Linked DNA regions of Caenorhabditis elegans. The protein of the gene in region 2 interacts with the protein of the main gene of each other region in a pairwise test. Each region holds a gene or a part of one and is shown on either strand. Other genes may lie near its edges.

The links.
Region 1: the proteins of ttc-17 (region 2) and spk-1 interact in a two-hybrid assay, tested with the Caenorhabditis elegans proteins (one large-scale study listed by BioGRID).

Annotation. Positions count from the first base shown.
Region 1 is NC_003281.10:9,450,553-9,466,207, reverse strand, and holds spk-1 (Serine/threonine-protein kinase spk-1), read right to left. Parts: upstream 8,681-15,655; 5' UTR 8,225-8,680; coding exon 7,185-8,224; intron 7,108-7,184; coding exon 6,993-7,107; intron 6,940-6,992; coding exon 6,691-6,939; intron 6,585-6,690; coding exon 6,276-6,584; intron 6,225-6,275; coding exon 5,985-6,224; intron 5,691-5,984; coding exon of another isoform or gene 5,514-5,690; intron 5,143-5,513; coding exon 5,062-5,142; intron 5,016-5,061; coding exon 4,293-5,015; intron 4,246-4,292; coding exon 4,145-4,245; intron 4,102-4,144; coding exon 3,948-4,101; 3' UTR 3,201-3,947; downstream 1-3,200. Other genes in the region: B0464.9 (putative protein phosphatase methylesterase 1), read right to left, coding at 1-22, 70-309, 364-435; B0464.6 (uncharacterized protein), read left to right, coding at 738-962, 1,007-1,163, 1,211-1,711, 1,863-2,613, 2,733-2,826, 2,884-3,087; rheb-1 (GTP-binding protein Rheb homolog 1), read left to right, coding at 10,199-10,271, 10,398-10,523, 10,577-10,673, 10,725-10,781, 10,830-10,956, 11,355-11,498; F54C8.7 (AH domain-containing protein), read left to right, coding at 12,149-12,227, 12,501-12,579, 13,363-13,651, 13,834-13,986, 14,043-14,366. UniProt on the Caenorhabditis elegans protein: Required for embryogenesis and germline development in both adult hermaphrodites and males. SR-protein kinase (SRPK) that binds directly to and phosphorylates the RS domain of rsp-3/CeSF2 in vitro.
Region 2 is NC_003283.11:8,952,545-8,967,399, reverse strand, and holds ttc-17 (TPR_REGION domain-containing protein), read right to left. Parts: upstream 10,356-14,855; 5' UTR 10,330-10,355; coding exon 10,216-10,329; intron 10,168-10,215; coding exon 9,980-10,167; intron 9,852-9,979; coding exon 9,650-9,851; intron 9,606-9,649; coding exon 9,444-9,605; intron 9,395-9,443; coding exon 9,288-9,394; intron 9,239-9,287; coding exon 9,109-9,238; intron 9,061-9,108; coding exon 8,854-9,060; intron 8,805-8,853; coding exon 8,519-8,804; intron 8,469-8,518; coding exon 8,386-8,468; intron 8,335-8,385; coding exon 8,123-8,334; intron 8,047-8,122; coding exon 7,903-8,046; intron 7,856-7,902; coding exon 7,738-7,855; intron 7,691-7,737; coding exon 7,538-7,690; intron 7,488-7,537; coding exon 7,035-7,487; intron 6,985-7,034; coding exon 6,093-6,984; intron 6,042-6,092; coding exon 5,650-6,041; 3' UTR 5,465-5,649; downstream 1-5,464. Other genes in the region: nhr-219 (Nuclear Hormone Receptor family), read left to right, coding at 1,221-1,503, 1,548-1,702, 1,745-1,963, 2,015-2,110, 2,169-2,534, 2,582-2,689; Nuclear hormone receptor family member nhr-44, read left to right, coding at 3,301-3,446, 3,496-3,573, 3,620-3,678, 3,731-3,819, 3,910-4,041, 4,316-4,534, 4,583-4,678, 4,871-4,965 and 2 more; gck-1 (Germinal center kinase 1), read right to left, coding at 11,986-12,042, 12,091-12,876, 13,258-13,462, 13,516-13,613, 13,668-13,856, 14,225-14,382, 14,773-14,855.

The DNA.
Region 1 (15,655 bases), on a different chromosome or scaffold from region 2:
ATATTAAAGTTGCCAATTCTTTCTGAACAGAACCATTAATGACTGACACTAGAATAGAACAAAACATACCGCAAAACACGCCCATGTGAGGCCTGAATAACCTCCACCGTGAAGCAAATAGAAAATTGGACCTTCATTTCCCTTTATGTACACATTGAAAACATCTCCATCAATGTTTGCGTCCTTCTTTTCATCAAAAAAATCTGACCACGGTAGTTCAGACATTTCTCGTTTCTTTCCAGAAGTTGATGTGCTCGGAACTGGTGGTGGCCTTCCATGAGTGACCGCTTGACGAAGAAGATCATTTTGCTGAAATTGATATTTAATAAAACATCATCTTGTTAATTTTCACTATTAATGTACCCTGTGAGGAGTTGTGACATGTGACGTTTCCGATTGAAGATCCGGAAGAGTGTCTAATTTATCGTCGGACATGGTGATCTGTAAATTAATATATTTAAATATTTAAGACAATTAAATAGAAAGCTATATTTATTAAAATTGAGCCAAAAAAATAAAATTATTAAAAATCTCCGAAATGGCCTAGAAAATGCTGACATGCGTTTTCTAGGCCAACGCGCTCGTAGTACACGAGGACAAAAAGATTCGAAAATATTTTATCGAAAACTCCCTCGAAAATGTTTTTTCTGTGATTTTTCTCACTAATTTGTTGTTTTAATATAAATATTAATCTAATCGCAAGCTTTACATCAACTCTAGTGTGTTACAGGTTCACAATGACTGCGGATTCACTCCGCGAACGACTGAAAAGTCAAAATGCAGACTATTCATTACTCAACACATCACAGGCATCAAACCGGTCAGCATTTGAAGACAAAATGTCCCCAGTGTGCAAGAGCAGATATGTGAATGATAATCAGAGACTAGAACAATCGAGAATAACAATGCTGGAAACCAGGATCAAATGGCACATCATTCTCTTAACTGGCTTCTCTATTGATGTAAGAGATGAAACTATTAATTTTTATTAACCAGTTTGTTTCAGCATTTGGTGCTCAATTCATCGTTTACCTCTGCAATTCTTCTTTTCGGATTCTTTCCCTCCTACGTAAATTCTAGTATTTCACTATTCGTCATAATTTATTCATTGATTATGATTGCATCGTACGCGTTTGAGATCAAATTCCCGAATGCCCTGAAGCGTAAGATTTTCAGTTATTCTAAAAAAACTTATTCTATCGTTTTTCAGAGCTGGTTTACAACAAAGTTCAATCAAAACCACCACGTCCAGAATCATCAAAAAGTACACCAATAGTGCCCGATGCTCAGAATGTGCTCGACACAAGTGTACAAAGCAATGACCTTTCTTGGGTTGATGCTCACCGTTTCGGTACTCCATCATTCAAATCAAGCCAACTTCAACAATCTCCTTCTCCAAACAAGAAGTCACCTTCATATTCACAAGTGATGTCAAATGTTTCAGTCTCAGACACTTCGGGAATTCTGGAGGATACCAAAGGGGGATGGAAAAGCCCGGCAGTTTATGGAAAATCTAATGAATCGATTCATACAAGAAAACAGCTTGATGTGCTTCTCCGATCTAATCAGGATGAGATTCCAGTCGATATGAATACTTCTACATTTTCTTCCATTTGGAGTGTATTTGGTTTAGGACGCAGTGGTCAGATAAGTGCGAATAACACTTGGCAGGTTTCTGAGGAAATCACGAATGATGGGAATACTAACTCATGTAAGTTGCATCTTCGGTCCACCATTTCAAAAAAAAATTGTGAAATTTTCAAGATTTTTCATTACAAAATTTGGTTGGTTTGGGAAATTTTGAGTCCGTCACTCCACCAACAAACTATGCTTTAAATCATCAAATTTGTATTATTTTTCAGCATACCGAATGAAAATTGGTAAAAATGGAAGAACGGAAGTAAAAATGTTGAGACGTGGCAAAGATGGAGAGATCGAGGAAGAGGATGAAGACGAACTTGTCCGTTTGCATAAAATACTGAATGCGGCGAAGTTAACTCCCGAAGGAAAGACTGGAATTCTGAAACGAAGCAATTCAATCGATCGTGCCGGGATTCGTAGTCGGCGTAGATCTCATAGTTCACCTGAACGATCTACTAGTACTGAAAATGAAATCAGATACCAAACTGGAGAATTATTAACGGAAGATCAGCAGAAAAGAGCCGAGTTTATGACTAGAGCCTGGATTCGCAACACAATTCTCGAACCATTGGCCGAACACATTGATAAAGTCAATAAAATACTCGATAAAGAGCATGCAAATCCTCCACTTCGTGTTGGAGTATCTTCTGTTGATGCTCTGAAACTTGCAGCAATTGAAAGAGATTCTCTCAAATCTTCAGATCTTCCATTCCTTCTTCCATTCCTCAGTGTCCATCCAAATCAAAAATATCTGATCAGTCGAATCAAAGAGCTTTGTGCCACTCAATTTATGGATGCATACAAATGGAATTCGGGTGGTTCAGAGCCAACCGATGATAACGATCAAATGACACGTCTTGTTCGCCGTGAATGGAATGATTCGTTGCCAACTGATGCAGTTCTCGTATTCGACATTTTTCTGGCTTATATGGATGCTCAACTCAATTCCAATTGTCTCGTTGGAGATAGTCGGTTAGTAATTGTTTTCTGGAATATATTAGATTTCAGTTAATCTGAAAAAAGTATACTTTTATAATCCTGTTTTAACGTTTAATTCAATAAATTGTGTTAAAAATTAAATCAATTTTCAGCCTTGACCAGCCATTCACCAGCCGATTCTGTGTCAAAAATGCTCAAAAACCATCATCTGCTCAACGTACTCCATTCAGTTTCTATCTTCACATGGTATGGCTTATAATAATTCACTCTTGTTCCTCCTCACTTCAAGAAATGTTTTTTCAGGTTACAAAATCTCCTCCACACGCTGAATTTGTGCACATTGATGAAAATGGATATGCAATTAAGTGCAACGTTCTCCGTCAATCACCCAATCTCTTCCGTGCTATCGCTCAATTTATTCATTTTGTGAAACATGAAAATCATGGATATCTGGATCAGACCTCAATCGGACCATCAGGAATTAACATGACATACGTCCTGGCGTGAAAAATTCAATTCAAGTTTTTATATGATGTTTATTATCGTATCCTTTAACAGGTTTTTATTTTCTCCCGCTTTGTTTTGTTGTTCTTTTGTTACGATCTCTCGACGACCACCCACATGAATCAATTATTTTTTATCTCGCTAACGTTACAAAATTCAATCATTTATGTCTACGAGGAAACCGAGATAATGAGAGAGAGAGAAGGGGAAAGGAAGCAATGAAGCACAGTAAAGATTTGAGAAAGGTTTATGCCAAATAGTTTGGGTATGTGAACAGACGGAGGAATATAAATGAAAAAGAAATGGGGGGAAAAGATGATCTACTGTTTGAGGCTGATAGAAGCATATGATGTTGTTGGGCAGAGGATAAGGACGATGTTCGTACAAAATAATTATATTATACCAGTAGCACTAAAGATCAAAAGGCGCTTCAACGAGACGCGCACGAGAGTGGCGCTAAACGTGCTTACTGCTCAGTCACTTCAGGAAGAACGGTGGTAAAAAAGAGAAAGGATGCGGTGATTCGATGTAGAAAGTGACAGGGAGAATGGGGAGATGAAGTAGTCGGATGATTGTTGAAATCCGAAACAATAAGTTAAACACTGTCTAGATTCAAAACATAAAAGTAAACACTCTGGAACAAAAGATTGGAAAATGCTGAAAAAAAAAATTAGCCCGAAGTGTTTTCTTTTCACCTATCGTAGGCAAGAAACGAGTAAAATTTGATTGAAAAAAGGAAAAACATAAAGATGAATATCGTCAAATTGACAGGAGAACATGTTTAACTCGGGAGATGTGCAAGAGGGCGTTGAAGAGTGACGAGACGGTGATGGAAGTGTTAACAAACAGGAGGGATTCGTGCACTACTGCAAATCCAGCTGAAAGCGTTCAATGTCAGAAATGTCGGTCGTTTCATTGTTTGTTATCACCCCCGATGGACCAGGTCGATTCATGTTGAACTCCTCCTCGTCGTCGTCGTCGCTGCCGCCCGCAGACCTGCTATTGGCACTCCTCTCGCTGCAATTTGCGTTTACATCCGCGTCGGTCCGAGCTTACGAACCTCGCCGATCTACTATCATTTTCGTCACGGTAAACTTCCTGATGCTCATTTCCGTCGAACGGCTCGGGAATCAATCCATCCGGAAACATCTTGCTCAGAAGCTGTAAAAATTATAGAGAAAATATTGAACAGACAATTAATATAAAACCTCAGGTGGACAATCAGATTTTGGCGCTCTTCCTCCAAATGGTAACAAGAACGGATGTTTCAATGCAATTTTGGCCGTAGATCGTTTCTCCTGATCGAAATCAAGCATCGGACGAAGGAAACTTTCAAACTGCTGCGCGTCTTCATGAGACCACTCGTATTTTTGTCTCAAAACCTCGTATAGTGACCATGGTTTAAGTTGGTGAATGTGAAGTAAGTGTCCATTTTTGTGGAAGAACTCTCTCCAATGTTTACCCTTTTTGTAAATTGACGGTGGAATTGCTCCAAGAAGTTCGGAAATGTGCGCAAGATGATCTTCATCGCGTGAATAGTTATCTCCTTGGTGTGGTTCAAACAAATAGTCACCGGTTGCCAATTCAAAAGCCATACACGCGGTACTCCAAATATCAGCTGGAGGTCCGTATCCTGAACCGATCAACACTTCAAGTGCTCTATACTGACGAGTTTGAATATCGTCCGTGTAGTGATGATTCACCCAACACGCGTTTCCGAGATCAGCGATTTTGACGTCGATGTCACAATATGGATCACCAATGTTGGGGCCAACTGGAGGAGCAGGCAGGATACCACCTGGAGGCAACTGGCTCATGGGCGAGCTCAGATATTCGGCGGATGGTGAGGCCAAATCTCCAAACTTGCTCTCCGGATCACTGAATGGAGTCAGCGTGGTTCTATCGAAACGATCAGGGCTCCTGATTTCCACCTGAAAATATAAATGGTTGTGGCTACAAAAATGAAATATATCATACCTTGTTTCTGTTTCCATTTTCATTGACAGTATCTTCCATGGTGACATCTTCCACTTGTGAAGCGTTGAAGTTCTCCAACTCCTGAAAAAATAAAAATTAAATTAATTGATTCAGATTTTTTTCTAAACTGAATTCACAACATGTTTAAGCTTATATATGATAAAAATTAGATACAGCACTGATGTATTTTCTGCAACAAAGACGAAACGACGAAAAAATGCAGACGGCATCCAGGGCGCAGCGGCAAAAAAAACCGAAACTAAATAGTCAGTGAATTTTAAAATAAAGAAACGGAAGGAGAAATGAGGTACGTGTGAATATACAAGCGTCTTCCGGTAATTTTGGTTGCAGAGTGGAAATAAGTGTGTGAATCGAGGAAGAGAGAGTAGAAGGGAACCATCATCATGTCAACACAACCAAACACTCACACCAACATTCGCATTCAGGATCACCTGTGTCAGATGATACGTCTGATTGCAGACGCATCCAACCTGTGGATAGAGAGATGGTGGTGGCGGTGGAACCGTTCTTGGAGACGATGGCGTATTCACACAAGAACTGCCTTGAAGCAGTTGGGGAATCGGACCATTGAAGAGCAAAGATGGAGGACGCATTCGGACACCATTTTGCTATATATCAGTTTTATCGTTTTTGTTTCGTTTTTTAAAAAATTATGATTGATAGAGTATAATCTTGATTTTTTAAAAATTACCAGCGTATTTCCTCTATTATTATTGCACATCGAAACTTTTCCAATGTTTGTCAACTAAGAAAATACTTTTTTATTTCTTTTTCTATCGTTTCAAAATTAAAATGTGAAATGATATCTTTGAAATGAACAGAGATATATTCTTTCAAATTTAAAAATTCAAGTATTGGGGTGCAATACTATTAGAAGAAGAACGGTATAGTGTTCAACTTACCGGTGCATTATTGTATGCCTCCTGCAGCCCATTAGCGTCCATTTTGAGGCCTTCGAGTCCAGCCAATTCCGCTTCCAACTTCTCTCGTTGTTTTTTGGCCTTCTTCTTCATCTTTTTCTTCTTGTTTTTCGTCATATTCTCCTGAGCCATTTTCACCAAATGATCCGGTGCAGTACTGACAGCCGATCCACTCATTTTCATATTCATCTTCCGGGCAACTACAGCATGTTGAGCCATAATCTGTAAAATTTTGAAAAATTAATTCCACAATTAATGGTTTTTAAAAAATACCTTGATCTCTTCTCGGCTCATCGTGATTAGCACATTTTCAGGTTTAATATCAGTATGAATGATGCCGCACTTTTCATGCATATATCCTAACGCCTCCAGAACTTGTCTGCATATTTTCCTAACTTGTTCCAGATGAAGTCCTCGATAATTTGAGCGTATAATCAGCTTTAACAGATTGCACCCAAGAACTTCAAACACCATAGCAACGTGCTGACCATTAATTCCCGTAACAGTGAATTCATCGAGCAATTGAACAACCTTGTGGCATCCGATGTCATTTGGATCAGCACTTCGTACGGATAGCAACAACTGAAATTATTCTCGTTTTATATTAGTCTTAATTTTTTTTTCTCGAGTCTCAGAGAATGTTGCATAAAAATCTATTGTTTCAGCACTACGTTACTTCAAAACTAACCTTAATTTCATCAAGAGCCGCTTCCGTGTAATGCTCCGCTGACTTCACTATTTTCATGGCAACAAATCGTTTGTCTTGAGTGTCCCACGCCAGCCAAACCGTAGAAAAGTGACCCCATCCAAGTTTACGAATCACATGATATCTCGCATTGAATACATCACCAATGTTGACTGGATGATATCCACCTCGTTTGTAATCACGTGGATCTTCTTGTTCTTCATCGTCAGATCCAAGTTGTTCTCCAGGATCCTGAAAATAAATATGTATAAATACAAAAAAATGAAATGCAAAAATCAACTCACCATTGGATCTTGGAATGAATCTGAATGTCCACCACCGCCGCCTCCAGGAGAATCACTTCGTCCGGGGCTCACACTTAAATCGTCCAAACGCTCTTCATTAGCATTGACTTCGGTCCTGAAAAATGTAAATTAAAAGACAGTTTCTGATTGATATTAGTAATACTAATTTAGTTAATGGAAAATAAATGTTACTTTTTGTTATTTCTTGGAATTATAGATGGACGAGGAATAGAAATAGAAGCTGAAGCGCATGCGGTTCCCAGATCATACTCGAACATCTGAATTTCGATATCTTCTGAGTCGTAAGAGGTAGCACTGTCGTCCCCGTCGTCGCCCGTTGAGGAAGACGATGTCGACGAGGAGACTGAAGAATCGATCGTCCCTTCACTCTCTTCACCCTCTTTTGCTGACCGCATTTCCACCGGAAGGTTATCGTATTTGGATGTGTCCTCATCGACAAGAACATCTTTTTCATTTTTATCGTCGTTCGAATGACACGACGCCAAATCTTCAGTTGCTGACTCTTCTGCTTCTTGTGATTCAATAGAGCTTACCGAATCAATTGATTCTTCGGTAGCATCATTCACATGAAAAGAATCATCTTGAGATTCAACGTCCTCTTCATCTGAGGCAGATACGCAAGAGTTCATGTCTTCATCAGAGCATCTTGAACCATCTTGTGATTGTAGCGACTGTTCATCGTCCTCATTCGAATGATCATTCTCATTTACAACACTTTTTTGTTGTACAGTTTCACCCTCTTCGCACAACGTTTCCGGTAGTTTACTGACTTCGGAAATGTTAGAGGTAACCATTAGAGCGTCTGATATATCGAAATTCGACGCGACGCCTCCATTATCTTCCGCACTAGCGAACACTAAATTAACTTCTGTCTCTTCATTTTGTGTACTCGTATTTATTTCTTGGGAAGAGATTTCTTCTTCTTCATTGGTCGAATTTTCTTTTTTATTTCTTTGCTTTACAAAGAAATAAAATCGATTCTGGTTGACCAAATCAACATTTATATGACAGGTTACGTCTGCAGATGATGCCAAAAGCTGTGTACAAATATCAGTTTCAGAATACGATTCGTGGTCATTCAGTTCTTCCGATTCCTCTGAATGAACACGAAAACGGCGGCGTCTCTGAACGGCTTCATCTTCGAATTTATAAAGTCGTTCTCGATGCTGGCTGAAGCCATTGAGCCATCTACAGAATAGAACCACAAACATGAATATGACAGTGGGGAAAACGTCAGTTAAGCTGAAGGAGCCGCCTGCTTCGACATCATTTGTTATACCCGAGTAATCGATAGCTGAGAGCGAATGTACTGCTCGACCGGCCAGCCTGACAGAAGAAAACTGGATTCAAAAGCAGGCGATTTTTTTTGAAATAGCGACCACGTAGAAGCGAGTTGCGACGCTTTGAGAGTGGGAAGGGGGATAAGGAAGATCAGCGGCGCGAGAAGTGTCTCGAGAATATTGGCGGCGGCCAACGAGGCGCGAGGAGCGACTTGAAGAAAACGCGATCGGTGTGAGAAGGAAGAGTGTTCAAGTGATAGTGATGTAATGATTGCGGCGCCCAACAAGAGATAGAGGAAATCCTGGGTCTCTCTTCCTTGTTTCAATCTTCAACTTGTCGGCCAGGTCGCGAAGAGGAGACAGCTGACAGAGAGAAAAGGCCAAGGTGAAGGAATAGAGAAGATAGAAAAGAAGGGACGAATGGATGGATGGGTGGATGGATGACGGACACACGAAGGTGGGATCATTTGAGACGAAGTGAAAAGACAACCAGTTGCTGTCATGAGAAAAGGACGATGCAACGATTACACCAAACAACTTATAATCATTTTGGTCCCGGTTTCAGCGATGTAATTAAAGCATATTAAAAAAAAAAACTCAAAATCTCACCTTTCCACGTGATTTGATCCGTTTGTTGTAACTGTTCCATTTTTCAAATTTGCGTTTTTCTCACCCGCTTGAGGAGATGTAGGCGTGTTTGGTGCTGTGGGCTGAAATATGAAGATTAAAAAAGCTTAATGGCAGAATTCTATTAAACTCACATTCAATCGGCGATATAGCCAATGTATTGAATGCAAAATACTAAGCATGCTCATAAATTTTCACTTTGTTTTGTTTTAAAACTAGTGTAAGAAAAGAAAATTAGTGGTTATCTCTACCCCTGGGTCATTAGCGGCTGCCACTGGCTCATAATGAAGCCGTTCTCATTTTACTTGAGGCAAAGGAGAAATCTAAGTTAAAACTGATGTGAGAATATATTAGTGGAGGGCTCGCATCCAAGAGAGTAAGCTCGGAAGTGCGTGAAATGAAGGGAATGCGACAGAGCTGTTTGAAGTTTTCAAATCTCTAGAGGCCATTAGAAAAAAAGAGTATTCTTTGGGTTCGATTTAGTGTCAGAACAGACTGAGCTTTAATTTTTCGAAAGTGTAAGTGTTTAGAAAAAGGGAAAACTTCTGAACAGAAACCGAAAAATGCTCACCTTTTTCTTATTGGTCTTCTTCTTCCTTTTCTTATTTGGCAGTGGTACTGTGCTGTTTTTTTCTGGTCCGCCCATATTCTACACTTAAACACGGTTCGTTTCACTGAAATTGATACAAATAAATAAAATAGGACTCATCAAAATTCGGGGAAAACAAGAAAACACTTCAGAGGAAAATGTTTTTGAGTTTTTAAAAGTTTGCGGAGGTTAATTGAACAACAAAAATGATGATAAAAAGATTATATCTGCCCGTACAAACATAAAATATAATTCTTGATAAGACCTATGCCAATTTCGAATGATAATAACGCTTTCAACGCGGAGGGCTCAAATTGGCGGCCGTTTTGCGCCAGAAATATCGATCTCGAGTTTGATCTGCAGGTTTGCTTGGGTACGGTGGGTTTGGCTTGCTGCCAAGAAGTGTATCATGCGCCTCCGTCTCTTATTTTCACACGCTCTCTCGCCTGCAATTCTCTATTTACAGTTGGTTTTTAGTTCGTTTTATCAGGAAAAAAGCGCATATTATTGCAAAAGTACATCATTTCTTTGTTTCTACATGTTAAATATTAATAGAGAATTTAAAAATAATGATGAGTGTTTAAAAAAATAATTTTTTTACTTTTCCCTTTTTATTTTATTTATTAATTTTTTATACTTCTATCAAAACTCAATCATTCAATATTCAGAATATACTCATTTTTGTGAAGATGAGCAGTTCGCTGCAATCAAATCGTCAGAGTCTGAATCGAAAAGTGGCCGTTATGGGATATCCTCATGTTGGTGAGCGTTTACGACAACTTTTTTTTGTAGAAAATCAAACATACCGGGAGCAAAATTGAACAAAGCAATGAAAAAATTAAAACAACTTTATTTAAACAAGGACATTCACGTTGAGAAACTTTACAGGAAAATCGGCGTTGGTACTTCGTTTCACACAAAATATTTTCCCTGAAAGGTATGAATCAACAATTGAGGATCAACATTCGAAGCACATAGCAGCGTTTCACAGGGACTATCATTTAAGAGTCACTGGTAAATTTTATCATTTTTTGAGCTTACTGAAAACTGATATTAGATATTTCCAGACACAGCAGGACAACAAGAATACACAGTTTTCCCGAGAAGTTGTTCCCTTGATATTAATGGATTTATACTTGTTTATGCAATCGATGATAGAAAATCGTAAGACTTCCGTTTTTTCTTTATTTGTTTTATTTAGATTTATAAATTCAGATTCGAAATGTGCAGCAACATCTATGAAAAAATCGTAAGAACCTATGGTGACACAAGGTATTTGAGCAGAAAGTAAAATTGCAGTCAAAAATCAAGAATTTCCAGCATTCCAATTGTAATTGTTGGAAACAAGACGGATCTCAGCACGCAAAGGGTCGTTCGAGCAGAAGAAGGTGAAGAACTTGCTAGACAATGGGATGCGAAGTTTGTCGAGATCACGGCCAGAGAATCGGTGAGTTGAATTTTTTTTAGAAAAAAGAGTACTACATACTTTTAAATTGTGAAAATTTAAATGTAAACTACGAATACATATAAAACTTTTTAGAAATTTTAAACTTATTTATGAAATAAAAAGTTTAGATTAAATGAGATCTATGAAAAAATCATCCAATAAACATTCTACGGATCGGTAATAAGATTTCTGCCGGAAAATGGAAAACTGCGAACATAGTGTGTTCATTTTTGCGTCTAATATGTGTCCCTCCCATATTTATTTCGCAATTTTTCTTTTTTCTGCAACCTCTCTTCTCTCTTCTATCTCCGAATAAAAAAAGGGAAAGCGTCTGCACCTCTCTTAGTCAACGTGTTCCTACAGGTTTCGACACGTTGCTTCATCCTTCCAATTTTCAGAATCGAGTGCATGAGGTGTTCGAATTGCTTCTCCGTGAGATAGAAATCTCGCGTGGAAATCTATCACCAACGGAGCGTCCAAACGGTAATTCACCAAAAAGGAATCCGTTTAAGGATGATGGAAAGCCGTGTAGTATCAGTTGAACACAGTTTTTTTTATTATCAATTTGTACATTGTCTCTTTTCTGTTTCTTTTCCCCAAAATATCTAGGCTTCCTTCACTGCTAGTGCCCTATTCCTTGCCGCTGGTCAATAATTATCCGCCTTCGCTCTTCTTCGCTTCCTCACTTTATTCGATAGATGCGAGACAAGATAAAAAAAATGAGATCAGGAAAACGTGGCTTCTTCTCTTTTCCTGAGAAATGTATATATTGTTTTGAAATTTGCGGAGAAAAAATCACTTTCAACTGGTCTGTTTCTTTCATTATTTTGGTTTTCTCAACTATTTGCTCAACTTTTTTTCCCATTTCAAAGTGCCTTACACCGGTTTACATGTCAACGTGATTCTTGTGAAATGGCTTTTTCCTAGGTATATAATTCCTTCACAATCATGATTTCTTTTTGTCAAATCTCCACTTTCATCCGGTTATTGTTTTGTTATTTTCTGTTTGTTTTCTTTTCCCGAATCTGTTTCGTTGTAAATACATCAGATCTTTTAAACTGTTAATGAAAATAAATCTTAATAGTTTTTACTGTTTTTCCTACTCATTCCACTCCTAATCTACCTGGTAGCTAGCCAAATTCGTATATTCGAAGTCATTCTTCTTTAGTTGTCATAGCGACTGTTTCAGATGATGACGGGCTCAACGGCTTCACCTCCTGAGCCATCTGCACCGCCCGCCGATTCACCGTTCGCACCGGTGACGCAAAACGGTTCGTTTGCCACGTGTTTAGGGATGTGCGGCAAGATTTTTCGGCGAACATATTTACAAAACTGCTTTTAATGTGAAATCATGGTAATCCGTGTATTGTCATATTCTAAATAAGCACTTTCCTACTTTTTCCGAAAAAATTTGCCACACAGCCATGCACGTTTTCACGTGAAATGCATTTTTTTTCATTTTCGTTAAATAGCATTTAAATATTTATTCCTCAAGAATAAATTTAATAAATACTTGAGAATGAATCGATATTTTTGTTTTCAAGACTCGTCACCAACTTCTGATTCGACGGAAACAATGAGCAGAATACCAACTGGAATAAAAGTTCCTGATGTTGTGGCCAAGTAAGTATTAAAAACGGAAAGAAATTATTTTTCACGCTTTTTCCGAGTACACGTAAAAGTCAAAAATATTTTTGAAATGTTTTATTTCGACATTTTTGAGCGCGAATCTTCTGTTTTGGTATTCATTATGATGCAGTAAGTTTTCAGGAATTGGCGGCAAAACCGTAGATTCGAGCGTTTTCAAGCATTGTTCGTCGTTTTTTCTAACTTTTCCCGTTGCTTTTAATGTTTTTTTAAAATGAAAACAAGTACAAAAATGCTCGAAAATCTACGAAACCGGCAAGAATAATTGAAAACGTTCGAATTTCTCGTTTTGCCGCCAATACCTAACGAGACCCAACGTTTAAAGGCGGAGCATTTTCATTTAACTCTAGAGCATCAATTTCAAATGGCTCAGTTTTCTGCATTCCTGTAATAATAAAGTTTTTTGGTACTTTGACATATGTTATCTTGGCTCTTCTTCTTGTCTTGTTTACCTTTGGCTACCGGTAGATTAAAAACCCGTCTTTTTTCAATATTTACTCTGTACATCTCATCCTCACTTACCTAAGCTTGCCCCTCCTCTCTACATTTTCTACATTTATTTTTTCGACCTAATCTTTTTTCTGACTTTCAATGGGTCTTCTGTCGAAGAAAAATAGTATTAAACTGTATAGGCAAAACCGCCAACCACTTACTACGCCAGTTTCGAAACGTCCATTGGAAAAATGCCCTCGGTTAGATAATTTCAGTATTTATAACTCAGTAAACTTATTTAATATTATAAATTAATTAAATTTTCAGCATCGATACGGCGCAAGTTGCTGCAAAAGTTGAGTCTTTCAAGAAATGGACAATTGGAACGTTTAAAAACTCGAAACAACAATTGCTGGAGCATATGGGCAAAATTGATAAAACTGTAGATCCAGAGTTCGAGGCACAATGCGAAGTTCTAAAGGATATTCATCGACGTTATGGTCTCGTCGTTGCCGCCGCGAAAAATTTCAGTCATGTTCTCACTCAAATGGCTGAAGCTGAGAAGAAACTTTCGGAATCATTTTATCAATTGTCAATGAAAGAAGAACAGATTAAGGCAAGTTTCAAAAAAAAAACACTTGAAATCGAGTTTCAAGCGCGCTCCATGGCCAGAAGTTGGGTCTGGTTAGGAATTTTTTTGAATGTTTTCATTTCTAAATTGATAAGATAAAATTTTAAAAAATAATTTGTTTCACCAATTTCGAATTTAAAATTATAAATGTAATATTTCTGTTTCAGGCACAATGCACCATGACATCAGAAACTATGAGAGGAGTTGGAGAGCAGGCTGCCTCATTGGATGCATGCTTGAGATACTTCATTTCTTCTATGGAAACTGTCTATAACCAAACAATTACTGACACTTTACACACAATTTATAATACTGAATCGGTAGGTTTCAACAGAATATTTGAGAGAAGACATTATATAACATGAAATAATTTTAGGCTCGCATTGAGTATGATGTTGACCGAAATGATATCTCAGCTGCAACTAATCCTCCACAAGGACAACTGACGAAGAATCTCCCAGTCGGTGCAACCGAAAAGTGTGAAGAGAAAAAAGCAAAGTATGAGAAGCTAAAGAATGATGCGAAGATCAAAATGCGATTGCTTGAAGAGAATCGAATCTCGGTGGTCGCAGCTCAACTCGAGAAACTCCAATCAGCACTCGCTGCATACTATTCGGGAAATGCGAAGCTCCTGGAAGCATCGGTTCGCGAGCTGAGCTTCCTTCAGTCTCCTCAACCATCTTTTATTCCAACCATGTGATTTCATTGTATGATATTCCTAACATTCCTGCCTTATTCCTATGTCACTTTTTTTCTTTTTTTCCCGAATTATTGCTTTTGACCGGGTTTGCAAGACACTGCTGCCAGGTTTTTTTCTGTGTATAATAGACGAACTAGGGGATTTTTAAAAATTATAAGTAATGTTCTAATTTTATGTGTCTTTTTGGTGGTGCCTACGATTAAAAACAAATATTCTTATAATACGATAAATAAATTTGCTACGCATTAAAAGCTTTGTTGTAAAAATTATAGAGGGTTCTAGAAAAGTGAACATTTCGCGGTGTGGATCGAAGAAAAGGAATATCACCCAGCGGCAAAATATGACGTTTTTACAGCAAAAATACGGTGCCCGGTCTCGACGCGAAAAGTTTTCGTTAAATGCAAAAAGGTGTGCTCCTTTAAAGAGTACTGTAATTAACTCTCGTTACCATTTTCAACTATGCTGTATTGAGAAAAGTGCAAATATCTAGAACTCACTTCCCGTTCTGTGGTAATATGGTTGTTCAAAAATAAAAAGCCGCATGGGATTATGTTTCCTTCCCGCAACATTTGCATGTCTTTCCACTACCATCCACACCACCAAAACATCCAGTCGGAGGTCCATTGTAGGAAGCCATAAAGCGTGTGTGACATGTCAATTATCTCTGCGTCTCTACCACTACCGTAATTAGACTCGCTTGGAAGTACCGCTATAAGAGACTATTGGAACTGGGGATGGAGCAGTAGATGGTGGTAGACCATGAACGGGCGGCACGTGATTTTCCATAAGGGGCGGAGTCATTCGTGCGCAGATGTGCATATTGTTCTTCAACGACTCCTTCATCCGAGAAGGTTTCCAATTCACACAACACTTCCAGGGAAATAGTCACTTGATTAAGTTATTCATTACTCCTGCTTCTTCGCAATTTTTGATTCGTGAAATTTGGACATTTACCATTGAGATCGTGGCGAGACCGAGAAAGTAAAATACCATGTTCCTAGAACTTCTAATTTTTTGTTGATGTATTACTTTTTCAAGCCTGAAAAATACAATTTTTTTTTTGTTTGAAAAGTTAGCAATTTTCCAACATTTTTATGATGTTACATTTCGATACTCATTGTCAGTTTTTTACCCATTTCGAGTATATTTTGTAAATTTCGGAACTACAGTAGTTATTAAAGACGTCGTTGTGCCGAGACCCTGCACCGAATTTTTGACGCAAAAACGAAAACTGTCGCATCTGGGTAATAAGGTAAACCACGTGGAGGATTCCAAGCGGAATCTAAACA
Region 2 (14,855 bases):
AATTGGATTTGGGTGCGTTGAAGAAAGCCGTGTAAACGGATCCTTTCCAAACAACCCGTGAGCTGTCAACCGTACTTGGATCTTATCAATTCAACATCGTGCGGGGCTTGGAAGCTTCCGGAATGAAAAAAATTATGGGTCGATCCATACCTCAGACTTTGACACAAGCCAACCATGATTTTTGAGTGGATCATTCCCTTTCCCTCCGCACTCTCCACGGGGCCGATCGATGGTTGGACCGATTCATCACTGGAGACAAGAAGTGGGTCCTCTGCGATAACAACCACAACCGTGCCCAGGGGATTGGTTAAGGAGAGACCCCACAGGATGCCGCCAAACCCGACCTTCACCCTAAAAAAGTAATGCTTTCAGTGTGGTGGGGAGTGTACGGCCCCATCTACTGGGATCTGCTACCTGACAACCACTCGCTGCTACCAATAAAGATTGCTTGTCATGAGCAGGTTTATTAGTTAATAAAGTAATTTACAGAAAAGCAGGTTGTTGTGGGCAAACAGCGAACACGTGACAACGGGTTAAAAGTCAAGGAAAAGGCCTCGAATGAGCGTTTCCGGCTCCTTATATAGGGGAATTGGGCGGGTCAAAATAATTTGTGGCGACATCTACGCTATCTAACCACGGAACATAAAGAAATTCTTCGATCGGTCACCCTTATAGGACAAGCAACTCTACTTTCATCAAAATAACGATCATCACCATGTCTTGAAACATGTAGAGCATGAACTGGTCAGGTATGGATGGATGGTTCTCCTTCACCCACCGTATTCTCCAGACATTGTCCTATCTGAATACTAGTCGTTTTCAAATATAACTCGTGTCCTCTGAGGGAGAGCCTTCAATACCCACGGAAGTGTCAAAATGGCACTCAAGCATTATTTCGACTTGCGCCTGGAAGGGTTCTATAAGTAGAGCATTCATAAGTTGTCCACGCGTTGGCAGTATATTGTTGATAATGATAGCAAATATAATTTATCCTGTCGTTTCTCTTGCTTCGAGAAATAAACGATTGAAAAAGTTATAAAGACTTCCGGTTCAACCTAATATTTAAAATTTAGGTTGCCCTAACAAAAATATTTTGTGGTCATATCGTTAATATAAAGGTCTATTCCTTTCTCCGTCTCGCTCTGTTCGAAGAATCGGTTCATTCTCACACGATTCTACGTTTTCTATAGAAACCATGTTATCTCCAGAACTAATTTTAGATGGGTTCTCTATCATCCCCTTCCACGTCAATTTCAACAACCAGCTCTCCCAAGTTAATATCGGAAAAGTGTTTGGTATGCGATCAACCTTCTCATGGAAATCATTTTGGAGTTGATAGCTGTAGAGCTTGTGCTGCCTTTTTTCGAAGAGTTTTTGTTACTCATAAGCAGCAATACAAATGTATAAATGAACTGGAGCAGTGTGTTCCCGATGCTCGTGGACGGTGGAAATGCAGGAAATGTCGAACCGATAGGTGTTTTGAGCTTGGAATGAGGCCCGATAGTGAGAATATATTTATTTTTAAATTTAACATTGGTTTTATTCAGATATTCAGTACAATCGAGACATGTTTTCCTGTACAGGAGAATTTCCAAAACAAGTTATTTACAAGTCAACTCGAATCATTCCATCAAAACCAGAATGCATTACGTATTTCGACTTTTCATCTTTACTTGAATCAGTCGAGAACATTTTATCAGAGGTTAGAATTGTTTAATTTTGTTTTTAAATATGATTGTTTTAGACAACACCTAAATGTGTTCCATTTCAATGTCAGACTCCTCTTCAACGTCTTGCATTTGGATTGAAAGAAATCAGAAAAACACAACTTTGGGATAATATCCCAGTTATCAACTGTATTGGAAAAGAAGAAACGTTCGAAAATTGGAAAGTACAAATAGAACGAACAACTACATGGTTATCTTATATGGATCAATACCGAGATTTGAACTTCGATGACAAAGTGAGACCTTTTTTTTTTTTGAAAAATCGTTTTGAATCAATTAATTTTTAGATGACAATAGTTCAGTGCATGTGGTTTCCATTCGCAAGATTAGAAAGATGTGGAATGACTGCGAAGCTTCGAAAGGCAAATAAATGCCAGAAAAATGTAACTAGCCATTATTTGAACAATTGAAAATTACTTCAACTTTTCTGGTATTTTTAAGGATTATGCGTTCAAATCGGACAGTCTTGTGAATACTCAGACTGTCAAATTTGATTTCGATTGGCTCTCACACCTCTCCAATGCTCAAATGAAGGCATTTTTAGGCGATCCTTCCGAAATGTTATGTGAAGGGCTAACAGAGTGCATGATGGAAATACAGCCCACAGATGAAGAACTTTGTTATATTCTTTGTGAACTATGTTTTCATCATCTTGGAAGAAAATTAGGTGGTCCGATGCAAGAAACCATGGAACGATTTCTAAAAATACTCTCCGACAACTTGCACGTCTACTATTTTGAACAAGATAGAATGTCACGATATTCGCATAGACTTTTGAAAATTTTAAAGATAAACGAAAAGTATAAAGTAAGTTGCATTGGTACAGCAATGACATATAAATTGTTGAGTTTCAGACCATAATGGGGGAAAAACGAAAGATAGTCTTTCTTGGATACCTATTTGATGCCTTTCGAATTAAGTATTCTCATCCGGATTTCTTTCGATTTCAAAGCTTTGAATAAAGTACATGAACTTTTTAAATTCATTGCGGAAAATAAATGTCTTGAATTAGATGAGCTGGTTGAAATGTGCGATTATAAACCTAAATGATGTGTTTTCACGCATGATCTCCGTTTACTTTCATGTGTTTGCCCTGTGATTTTTACCTACAAACCATAAAATGACGTCTTCTCCCTGCCTAATTCAATTGAATTAATGTCTTCAGACAGATTTTCTTCATTTGGATCTCCGTCAATCTTAACGAAATTTTAAAGTTCACCAGTCTTTTATAGTACATTATTAGAAGCTTATTACAAATGTTTCTTTCTCTGTATCTCTTTAACGTTGCAGCGGCACGGGAAATCAAACATTTCCAACGCGTATCGTAAATACTACTATTGATTTTCCGCCGTTTTATTTTCCGCCACAACACTATTGAGAATTCGGGGTTGTCCAAACACGGGGTATCATAAGGTCATCTCCCGAATTGAGGAGGTTAATCTTGTCTCCGCGTGGCCTTGTTGCACTTCTGTGTGTATGTTGGTAACCAAGGTGTCGGTCTTCATGGCAACCTCCATTCTCACACGACTTTCCGTATTTTTATGAAAATTCAGTTATACTTTTGAACTTTCAGATGGATTCTATATCATCACCTTCCACATCATCTTCAGCATCTAGTACTCCTAAATTAATATCCGAAAAGTGTTTGGTATGTTTCCAACCCTCTCATGGAAATCATTTTGGAGTTGACAGCTGTAGAGCTTGTGCTGCTTTCTTCAGGTAATAAGTAGTATTTATGGTGTGCAATTAGTTAATTGTCAATTTTTAGAAGGGTATTTGTCACTCATAAGCAACAATTTCCATGTCGAGAAGGAGATAACAAGTGTACTCCGGATGAGTGGGGAAGGTATTTGAAAAATTTCACATATTTGATTGAATTACAATTATTTTAGATGGAGTTGCAAGCGATGTAGATCTGATAAATGTTTTGCCCTTGGAATGAAGCCAGACAGTGAGATTTTGAACATTTCAGCTTTACAAAACTAAACATCTTCAATTTTCAGACATTCAAAGGGATCGAGATAGATTTATATTTTCTGATAATTTTCGTGATGACAGAAAAAGGAAGACATCTGAATCAATTGTTCCATTGGTAAGTTATTATTGATTTCTATCACGGTTTTTCAAAAATGAAAACAACACTTGGGAATATGAAAACTTATTCATGTTATTTGTTATTCAGTCTGTCGAACGATTCGTGGGAAAACAACTTGTGACAACATACACGTCAACTGGATCCGGAAAGAACATTGAATATATCACATTTTTCGATCTTACACCAATCATTAAAGATGCTGATTATATTCTCAAAAGGGTATGTTTTAAATAATATATTCGGTGATAAAATAAGATGCATGTGTGTTTATACGTAAATTATAATTTTTGGTACATTTTGGGTTACTTTGTTGGGTTACTGTAGTAGCCTGTTTTTTTTAAAAGAATTTCAAGACCCTTCGAAAATAAAGCTGGGCTGGTGATGATATGTTTATCCGGAAAACTGTACTGTTAAAAAATAAATACTGCAGAGGTATTGTCCAACATCGAGAGAAGTTCTCAACAGAAATATTTTCTAATCTTACATATTCCAGATTCCAAAATTGGAAAAATCGGTTAAGGTGAAGAGTTCATTGGAACAACTAGCCTTTGGATTACAGGAAGTAAGAAAAGAGCAATTATTTGAAAGTGTTCCTGAACTGAGAAAAATTGGAAAAATGGAAACATGGGACAACTGGGTAAAGGGAATGAGAAGAGCTGGTGAATGGATTATGCACTTTGAAGAGTTTCGACAATTGGAACAGGAGGAAAAGGTTTTTGAAAGAGAAAGTAGATTTCAATTAATAGAGTATAATTTTCAGATGGTGATATTGAAATGTATGTGGCATCTGTTTATTCGTCTAGAGAGAATTTCAATGACAGCCGAGATGCGGAGAATGAAGCTTTGTGATGATAAAGTAAGAGTTATAATTTTGAAAAAATGATATCAAAAATTTCCACTACATGTGTGTGGCCAGTTACCATTGATTGAAACATTTGAAAGTTGAAATTTTTTGGATATGGAATTTAGAATTTTTTGGAATTATGACAATTGGTTATGTTGGACTATTTTAAGTATATTTAAAGCTTTGTAAGTTTTATGTTTTCAGGAATTTATATACGGAACAGAGCAAAGAATTAACTACGATACTCTGGAAATTGATCGTGATTGGTTTTCTGAAGCAACTGATAGAGAAGTACGAAGGTAAGTATTTTTCCAGTTTGTTTCAGTTACTCAATACTAATTTCAGCTTCATCGGTCCCCTTCCGCGATGGTTTTGTGAGACAATAATTGATGCATTAATGGAATTACGCCCAAGTGATGTAGAACTGTCATTTATGCTCTGTAATTTATGTTTCCATTTGACTGGCCAAAAATTGGGAGGAAGAATTCAAGAAATAACTGATCGTCTTCAAGATGTTCTGGCCAACGATCTTCATAAATACTATCTCGCAAAGGATAAATATTCTAGATACTCATACAGATTGACCAAATTGTTAAGCTTGAATCGGCAATATAAGGTGAGTTCAAAAAATTATCTTTTCAAATCATATTTATAATACTTGGAATTTTTCAGAATGATTTGGAAATCAGGCGACAGGGAATCTTCTTGGCCAATACACTTAACATTTTTCGTGTGAAATTGTCTCATCCTGAAATGTTTCAGTTTTCTTGCTAATGCATGTGATTAGATTATCTTGATCATCATAATATGTATTTATATAAACTTTTTTGAAAAAAATGAGGAAATTTATAATTTACCCGTTTTGATGAAAACAAGACAGAATGTGGAAAGTGAACAAGCAAACTTGGTGGGCACGAAATGAGGCAAAATTATAACTATTAACGAATTGAAAAGGGAATAATTAACCAAATTAAATTCAACAATTAAAACTCGAATTCTTTCCCAGCATGGCAATATATCGTGCGGATTTTATCTTTCGCTGGCTGGAAGTTTGCTTGAAGTGATAATGTAGAGTAGTAGAAGTTTAGAGCTCTCTGATAATCTCCAATTGACGCATAGATGTTGCCAAGTGTGAAATGGATGGCGACTAGACGAGGAGAAGCACTGAGAGCAGCACCGGCAGAGATCAGAGCAGAGTTGAAGAGACCAGCTTGGTGGCAGATGTTGGCCAGGGACACCAAAGCAACGTCTCTCATGTGTGGTGGAGCAGTATGAAGAGCACATCGGAGGCATCCAATTGCATTTTCAGCATTTCCAGTGACTCTCCAGTAGAGGGAAGAAAGTACACAGAGTACCCAACTGACATGACCATCCTCTGAAAAATTAATGTTATGAATAAGAAAAACTTACTGTTTAATAAACATACTAGCATTACTGTGAAGCATGGCAGCGTGAAGTCGAGCAGCTACATGTTCGATAGTATCTCTTTCATTGCCAAGTGATTTCAGAGCTTCAGCAAGAGCCTTCTCCGGTTGGTAGAACAAGAACTGGTCGCTAAGAGCAAAAGCAGGAATATGACCAAGTCCAAGAAGGGGTGAGTTTTTGTATTTATCCATATTAGGGCAGATTGGTTGAAGAGAAGCCATTGCAGGCATTGGTCCACGTAAATCAACATATTTTTCAATATCTTCTCCTTTGGCGGTTAACGATACCCAAGTGGATGGAGCATTTTCGAACATTGCTTCGGGTTTGGCCACTCCGTTACAAGACATAGTTGCCACACGTGGTGGAGGGAAAAGTGAAACTCCACGTCGAATTTGATGAATTGATGGTTTTGGCAGCTCAGATGGTAATTTGGCGTCGTACTGAATCATCATTGACTTTTCTCGAATCCACAGGTAGGAAAGAGGTTTTCCCGGAATTTCAGCTAGATCTGACTCCCACGATTCTTCCCATGAATCAACTTCTTTTTCTTTTTTCGTCGGAAGTATATACTTCATCTCATTTGTGGCACTGTCCCACCATTCTGCAGGTCTATCCGTGAAAAATGAGTTCCATCCACCATAATCAAGAGGCATTTCAGTACTTTCAACTGTTTGAATTCCATCTACTTGATTAACCCAATTGGTGACATCATTCCGTGGAGTAATAGTGTTGAAAACGAGTAAAAATGGTGAGACGATGCTCGCATAATCTGCCGTTTTCTTACTGAAACCATCATAGAATCCGTTGCATCGATGATAGACTAGTTGTGGTGATGCATCCGGAATGTTCGATGACTCAACGATGTAGCACTGTTCTTCGGAATCTTTTCGTGGCTGAAATTCCAATTTATAAATTAAAGGATATATTATTAAATTGAATTTACCCTGATGCAAACTGCATTCTGAACAACTGGCGAGCAGCATACTGTAGGGAACTGTGATGATATGGCAGATTTTGTAGACTTTCCACTGCATGCAATTTTGAGAAGATCTTCTTGGATTACCAGATTATTCGGATCTTTATCCATTGCATCTTTAAGATGCTGAATCGCTTTGTCCACATCGTGAAGCAGAAGCTTCATACGTCCTTGTACATAATGGAAAAGTGGTTCACTGTAGCCAAGAAGATTGAGCTGTTGATTCAGAAACCCGTGTGCGTCATTGACCATTCTAGTTGATTTGAGCATAACTTGAGCAAGTTGAACAATCGAAACAAATGATTCTTCAGGTTTGTCAAGGAACGCACCAAGAAGACATTTTGTAGCCTGATGTGGATTTCCTTGAATCCTCCAGTAGAGACCTGCCAAGTTCAGAGAAACCCATCTTGGACCGATGGTCTAAAATTAAGGTGATTTCAATAAAAATGAAAAGCGGATTCAGAACTTACATGTTTCATCAAAAGTTGAATTCTTGCAGCCATTTCATGTTCTTCGATGACACGATCTGCTAGACGGACAAATGTCGTTTTCAAAGTTTTTTCAGCATAGCCTTCGGATTTTCGATCAAATCTTGGATTCAGGAGTCGCTCAATCGCTTCAAACTGAAAAAGGTGTATATAAAGATAAATTAATCTTAATAAAAACTCACTCCACTAAAAACTCGAAGATCGTCCATTTTTACAAAATCACATCTTGGTTCAAACCATGGAAGAGGAAGAGAATCGGCTGATTGAAGTCCAATGTGAGTTGTCAACAGTTCGGAGACACTAAAATTCAGCATATTTGATGGAAGCAGTGTATATAATGAACTTACAGCCATCCTCGATTTTCTGGTGAAATAAAAACTTGAGGGAAAGTATTGATTCGGAACGGATTGGATGACGACACTACAGCTTGACAATCCACGGAATTCGGCCAATCTGCTCGTCTCCAAAATCGATCCACACTTTCATCGATTCTAAAAAATAGTTTTTTTTTTTTAATCTTATCAGTTTTTAACTTTGATAAAGTGTTTAATGTTTGTGAAAACGAACTCTTTATTAGTGAAGCGGGGTTCTATCATTCTGAAGTATCCATCCTGCTGACTATTTCTTGAAATATCGAACAATGTCTTCTCAAATGCTCGATTTGGAGGATACACTTCTGTAACTTTCCACGAAGTTTCATTGATCGCCGGACGATTTCGTAAAGTTTTCTCTCGCAGCGGCGCCATTGATTCCTCGTATTTTTCAGGAGTACAGGATAGCTGAAATACGAATATGATCTACTTCGGATAACAAGTATAGAAAACACTCACCGAGCAAATCATCGTGGTTGCCCAGTTCAGTTTATGATTTGTGGCAGGGAATCTATTAATCTGCGCTCTCTGGCATTTTCGATCTGAAAACTTTTTTTGTGATTTCTTAACATAACTCAAATTTAATACTAACGGGGATGTGCACCATATTTGATTTGATCATAGAAAAGTAGACTATTAGCTCGTGCTTCTGCTGATGGCATCAGTGATAAAATATTTGAGTTCATCTCAACTCGTTTATTGTATGATTCTTGAAAATTTGTTTTCTCAACGACTAGCTCTTCAAGGTTCTTTTTCTGTTTTTCAAGAGCTGAATACAGCCTCAAATGACATGAAATTACAGAAGCTTTTGATTCAACAGAATCAAAAGATTGATCGAAAAGTTCTCCATCCTTTTGATTGTGTTCTTTTTTTGCAGCCTGAAAAAAGTATATATTCTGGAACAAAAATGAGAATAAAAATTGATACCTTGAAATCACTTGCTGCTTTTGCATAATTGTAGAAAGTGTTGCTGAACATGCTTTTTCGCTCTTTATTCGTCAATTTCAATTGAATTGATATTTGTTCGGTATCATAGTCGATAGCTGATTCCGGACCAGTTAGAACTGAAGCATCTCCAGTTGCTGCATGCATCATTCCGCTATAACATGCCACAGTGTTAGTAGAAGTGAGTTGCTGAAAAAGGATTTCATATATAATACTTTTAGATGGATCTGAGCTTACTTTAAGAATAATATGAGCTTCTACAGAGTATCCGGCTCTATTCAGAAGAGTTGCGATAGACAATCTGATAGTATGTTCTGCATGTGATGGATGGAATGCACCGATGTGGGGTGCTCGATTTTCGTCGTTTCTGAAATGTTTTAATGTAATTTTTACAGATTTTCCTTGCTTAAACATACACAAAATGTATCCCTGTTGCATAGCACGTGAACGCATCTGAAATCTTTCCTTGAGCTCTCCAGTAGGCAGCAGCTGCCATATGAAGATAGGCATTGCGAGATACTCTCTGAAATTTCTAGTTTTATTAAATCGCATTGTTAATTATTAATCCAAACCTCATCAGCGTGACTCAGCATACTTGACAACATATTTCCGAAGCGAGACATTCCTTCGGATCCTCGCGTGAATTTGGCGAATCCTGGGAAGTACAAGTCAAGAACTTTCAGATACATGTCGTCATCAGCGTCATACTTATCTTGTAAGCTTTTTCCAAGGTCCTGAAATAATATTGGATTCGTTGTTAAAGTATGAAACAACTTACCACATTATTCTGACCCTTCATCTTGACTGCTTCAAACCAATAATTACATCTAGGCGGTCGTTTATCACTGTCCGGTGGTGATCCAAAGTATTCTTTGACAAATGCAGTATATTGTTGATATGACTCATGGAACTCGGGACACAGTTCCGCGGTGAAAGACGTGTGGAAACTGTCGGATTGCAGTCGTATTCCACGCGATTTTCTGGAAATATAGGAAATTTAATATTGAACAATTTTGCCCAAAAATGAGTTTTATACTGATGATAATTTACCAAAAACTAACTTATCTAAATTAAATATTTTTAATTACCGTTATTTAAAATTACTCACACACATGCTTCTTCTTGTCGCCTAAAGTCTTCTTCAAACTTTGGATTATCGAAATTCTCGTGGTTTTTTATTTTTCCCATCGATCCATGCAGCTCATTTGCCTGCCGATCGACGACTTTTACATTTTCCACTTGAGTTATGAAGTCGGTCAACGATCCCGGTAATTTTAGATGGTACCTCGTGTCGGGCTGAAAATTTTTGGTTCAAATAGTTTTATTTAAAAAAAATTAACTAACAACTGCCTGGATTTTCTTTCCATCTTCACTAATTTTCCAGTGATATGCTGATAGAACTACATCATTGTTGAGAATGAGAAGTGTGAAAAGCCATGCGAAGAATTTCCGATTCATCGGCCCGACCCGACGGACCTTTTTCTCTGTAAAATTTGAGATATTTAATTTGAATAAGTAAAAATCAATAAAGAGATCTAAGCGTGACGTCAGAATCTGTAGTTTTGAGAATACGGTGCGAAAAACGGCAAAAGAGAACACGCGTCATTCGGATTAGGGAATATGAGAAGAAGCCGAAAAGAAAGAGAAGCTGGGATGGTGGCGAGATTTGAATGAAGAAAACGGGACGATGTAGATGACAGAGAAGACGATATAAATTGATGTCAAAAAGAGATAGAGAGAGAGAAGACAGTGTACATACAATAGAGGGAACAGACGATAAAAAGGTGTTGGACTGGGTGAGATTTGGGTGACAAAAATGAATTGAATTTTTTTTTGTTGAAAATTATATGAAATGAAGAGAACGGTAAAATTCGTTCGTTCAAAATGTGTCATGTAGAAGAAGAGGAAACGACAGGATAAGGAAATGAAATAAACGAGACTGTCGAATGAGCGATGGTGGAAGACGTAAAAAACGATGAATCGGGGCAAGGCCATGACGACAGACGAAGAGACATAGACAACACCATACATGCATCCAATTACGCGCAACTAGGATAGTTGTTAATATTGTTTCACGTTGATTCCATTTGGATCTTTGTAAATACCTAGAATTCTTCTTTCACAAATTTCATATTTAACAAACCATTTTCTCTCCATGTTCGTTATTCATAATTCAAGATACTCGAGCAGTTTGATTAAGTAGTAACACATATTTTTTAATAGGTAATAAGACATGATTTTAAATTGTTTATTCACAAAGGCATATCCATGTTTGTCTCTCTGGACACTGCCAATACAATACTAATCAATGAACTAATGAAAATAAATCCAGTCAATGGAAGACTTTTTGATTTGGAGCAAAAAAAGGGTGGGAGGGAAAAGTGAAGAGGAATAACCGCGTTTAAATTAAACAAATGAGAAAAAAAAGTGATAAAGGCGGAAATAGTAATCTCTCTTTTCTCTACATATGAACATATGTAGAGCAATGAGAGATATTATAAATGAAAAAAAGAGAAATAGTTATTAAAACTACACACACACAAATAAAATAAACATGAGAAAAATGACCTAAATGGGGAGAATGAGACCGGTGATCATCGAAAAGTTTGGTTAAAATAATAAAGAACAATTAGGTAGGTGGAAAATTGAGCGGTTGGAAGAAAACACTCGGAATCGTTTGGAAATAAAGTGAAAAGGGTAATGAGAAATTCGAGAAAAAAATCAATGAATCTCGAATCGACTATTGATATATTTACAAGTAATGATCGAATCGTGATGATATGTGGAGAACTTGCTCCTGGGAGAAAATGGGGCCGAATAGTACTAGAAGGGGAGTAAATGAGAAATATTTTCAAAATGAAAAAGAAAAGCGCATAAGATAATGAGAACCGTGCGGAGAAAAGTGATGGAAAAAGTAGGATAACACAGAGATTTGTTTTTTCGATAAGAGTCAATTTCGAAAAGAACTCCAGACAAAATGGGTCGAAATTGAAACCATCTTAATTGGATAGCGAAAAATCACAAAAGTTGGGGATAATTTGCTTTGGATATCATACAGGTTGGAGATTGATTGACGATAGTACATGTTGTGATACAAGTCTTTTGATTATAAATTTAAGATGGTGGGGTTGTCAGTCGGCGAATGGCAGCATCGAGGTCACTTTGGCTCACCTAAATGTCAGATAATTGTTTTAAAAGTATAAAAGAGCTTCCACAAACCTGAGGAACTGCAATTCTTTGCATCAACTCTTCGATTAACTCATTACAGATTCCAGGACAAGAATCTTCAACATCTCGAAAAACGTGTCTCAATTGATCGAGAGCAGCAGTCGCATGACGTGTTCGAGACAAATGTTCGATTGCCGGAAGAAGACTACAATCGAGGGCACCTTTCACACGAGGCATTGGAACATTATTAGCTTCTCTTGATGGTGGTGGCGCTCCGTACCCGTACATTCTACCATGATTCAGATTTTCTTGTGACGATGTCGGAACATGGCTTTCACGATAATCAAGTCTACCACCGGACCCTCCTGGTCCACGTTGTCGCACGGCATCCGAATATTCAGAATGATTCTGATTAGAACTATTTCCATTTAATCCAGATCCAGATCCATTGATGTATTCTCGACGACCACCACTTCCACCTTGCACACCATTGCTCGATGATGTCCTGTGTTGGTTATATTTCGACGGGGATACTTGCGATGATACCCGTTCGCTCATAGGTCGATTTCCACGTTCAAGTTCCCAAGATTGGGCAGAACCGGATCGTTGTCCACTTGGTGATACCATGGATTGTGTTCTTGCAAGTGAAGATGTTGGACTTCCATTTGGACTTCCAAGCGTGATGGTAGTAGCACCTCCAGATGAAGCTGTATGAGATTGAGGCAATGATGATGTTGCATATTGAGACGATGCCGAGTTTCCGCCTGATCCATAACCAGAGGAGCCAACCGAAGAATTTCGAAGCTGTTCGGCAACTGCAGCAACTTGTGGACTTCCCTAAAATCAGTTATTTTTTTAAAAAAGAGTATAGAAAAAAAGATCGCTTAATTTTAATAGATACAGTAATTTCATCAGTATGAATGAATTATTTTTTAAAAAAATGAAAAATGGTCTCCCCAGGAATATCTTTTTGTCGTTTTTTTTGAAAATCGTAAATCCAAAAAAGTTCTTCTAGTTTTTGTTCTAGTCAGGTATGCTTAAAATTGAATACTGTGGGGCTTCTAACATGCGATAGCGCTTTAATTTTCTTAACAACAGGGCGACATCAATTTGCATTGCTTTTTGTCAGTAAATAAGAACATTAGTTTTTTTGAACTATAATATTTTATCATTTCGGCAGAAATAAAATTAAAATATTTTCAAAAGTGTAATACTCACTCTAACTATGGTACCACCCGGAGATCCACTAGGCGATCTTCGATCAACTTGAGCTCTTGGCCTATCAGTCCTTTGTCGTACAGTCCCATCATCATCTGCTGAAACACGTGGCCCGCGGACCGTTGGATAATCCCATTTACTTGTTCCACCTCCGCCATCAGAATCTTCGTCTAAATCACTGTCACTTGAAACTCCCGTCCTCAACCTGAAGAAAAATAGGAAATTTTCAGAAAATGTGAAAATGGGTCAATAAATTACCGATATTCGGCTGCTCGTTCGATGAGATCTACCAGAATACTATTCTTCTTGGCTCGTTTGATAAATTGATGTTTAAGAAGAGTGCTTGCGGATGGTCTCTGCAAGAATCAAAAAAATTAAAAATTAACTTCACCAAACATTTGAACACCTACATTTTCAGGATCCTTATTCAGACACATTTCAACAAACTCTTTAAATGGTTTCGACCACTGACTTCCTTGTAATACTGGAGGTGGATTTTTCGGGATCAAGAATAATACACGCATTGGATGAAGATCAGAATGCGGAGGTTCACCATTTGCCAGTTCAATTGCTGTGATTCCTAATGACCAGATATCAGCCTGAATTGCATATTTTAGATTGTGATATGGTTGAAATAAGAAGTATGGTGAATGAGAAAATTACAGAAAAGTTTAGATGTTCTAACTTCGGAAAATCAGGATTTTTGATCGAGAAAGGCTCCTTCGAACTTCAACTTGATTTATTCTGGCTTTAATTTGTTTTTATTCAAAGAATTTTGGAATAATTGAAAAATCAGTGAAACTTCGAAAAGGTTGACAGAAAATAATTTCTTTAACAATAAATTTAACCAAAAAATACCTTATTATATTCCAAAGTTTCACTATACTTTCCCGTAATTTTTTCATTCACGATACTAATCGAACCAGGGTGAATTTACATAGGAAACATAAAAGGAAGAAAGCTTTACCTTATAGTCGTAACTTGATTGTTTAATGAGCTCGGGGGCCATCCAAAACGGCGATCCGACAAATGTGATACGTTTTTTGACAGTTTCAGTCAATTGTCCAGCAACTCCAAAATCGGCGACCTTCACATCACCGTGCTCACTTACAAGTACATTTGCAGCTGAAAACAGAACAAAAGGTGAACAAAAGGGTTGTAATACAATAGGTGATTATGATTTCCCGGGAAACAGATTAAGCACTAGATATCAATCACAAAAGACGACAATATGTGGGGAAAGAGGACATCATTTGAAAGTACCTCAATACTATATTCGCCTTTAACCACTTCAGGAGCCATAAAAAACGGAGTTCCCACAAAAGTATTCGCTTTCAAAACTGTGTCGAGTGGTTTTGCCACACCATAATCACAAATTTTTACAGCCGCTGTTTGACGGTCCAACAAAACGTTGGCTCCTGAATCCCAAACATAGAATAAATTGAAATAAAAACCATTTAAAAATGTTCGAATTTTTATTTAATTTGGAAATTATTTTAAACTAAAAAAGCTCACCTTTAATATCTCTGTGGATTTTTCTTTCACTATGCAGATACTCGAGACCTTTCAAAATTTCGCGAAGAATCACAGCGATATGA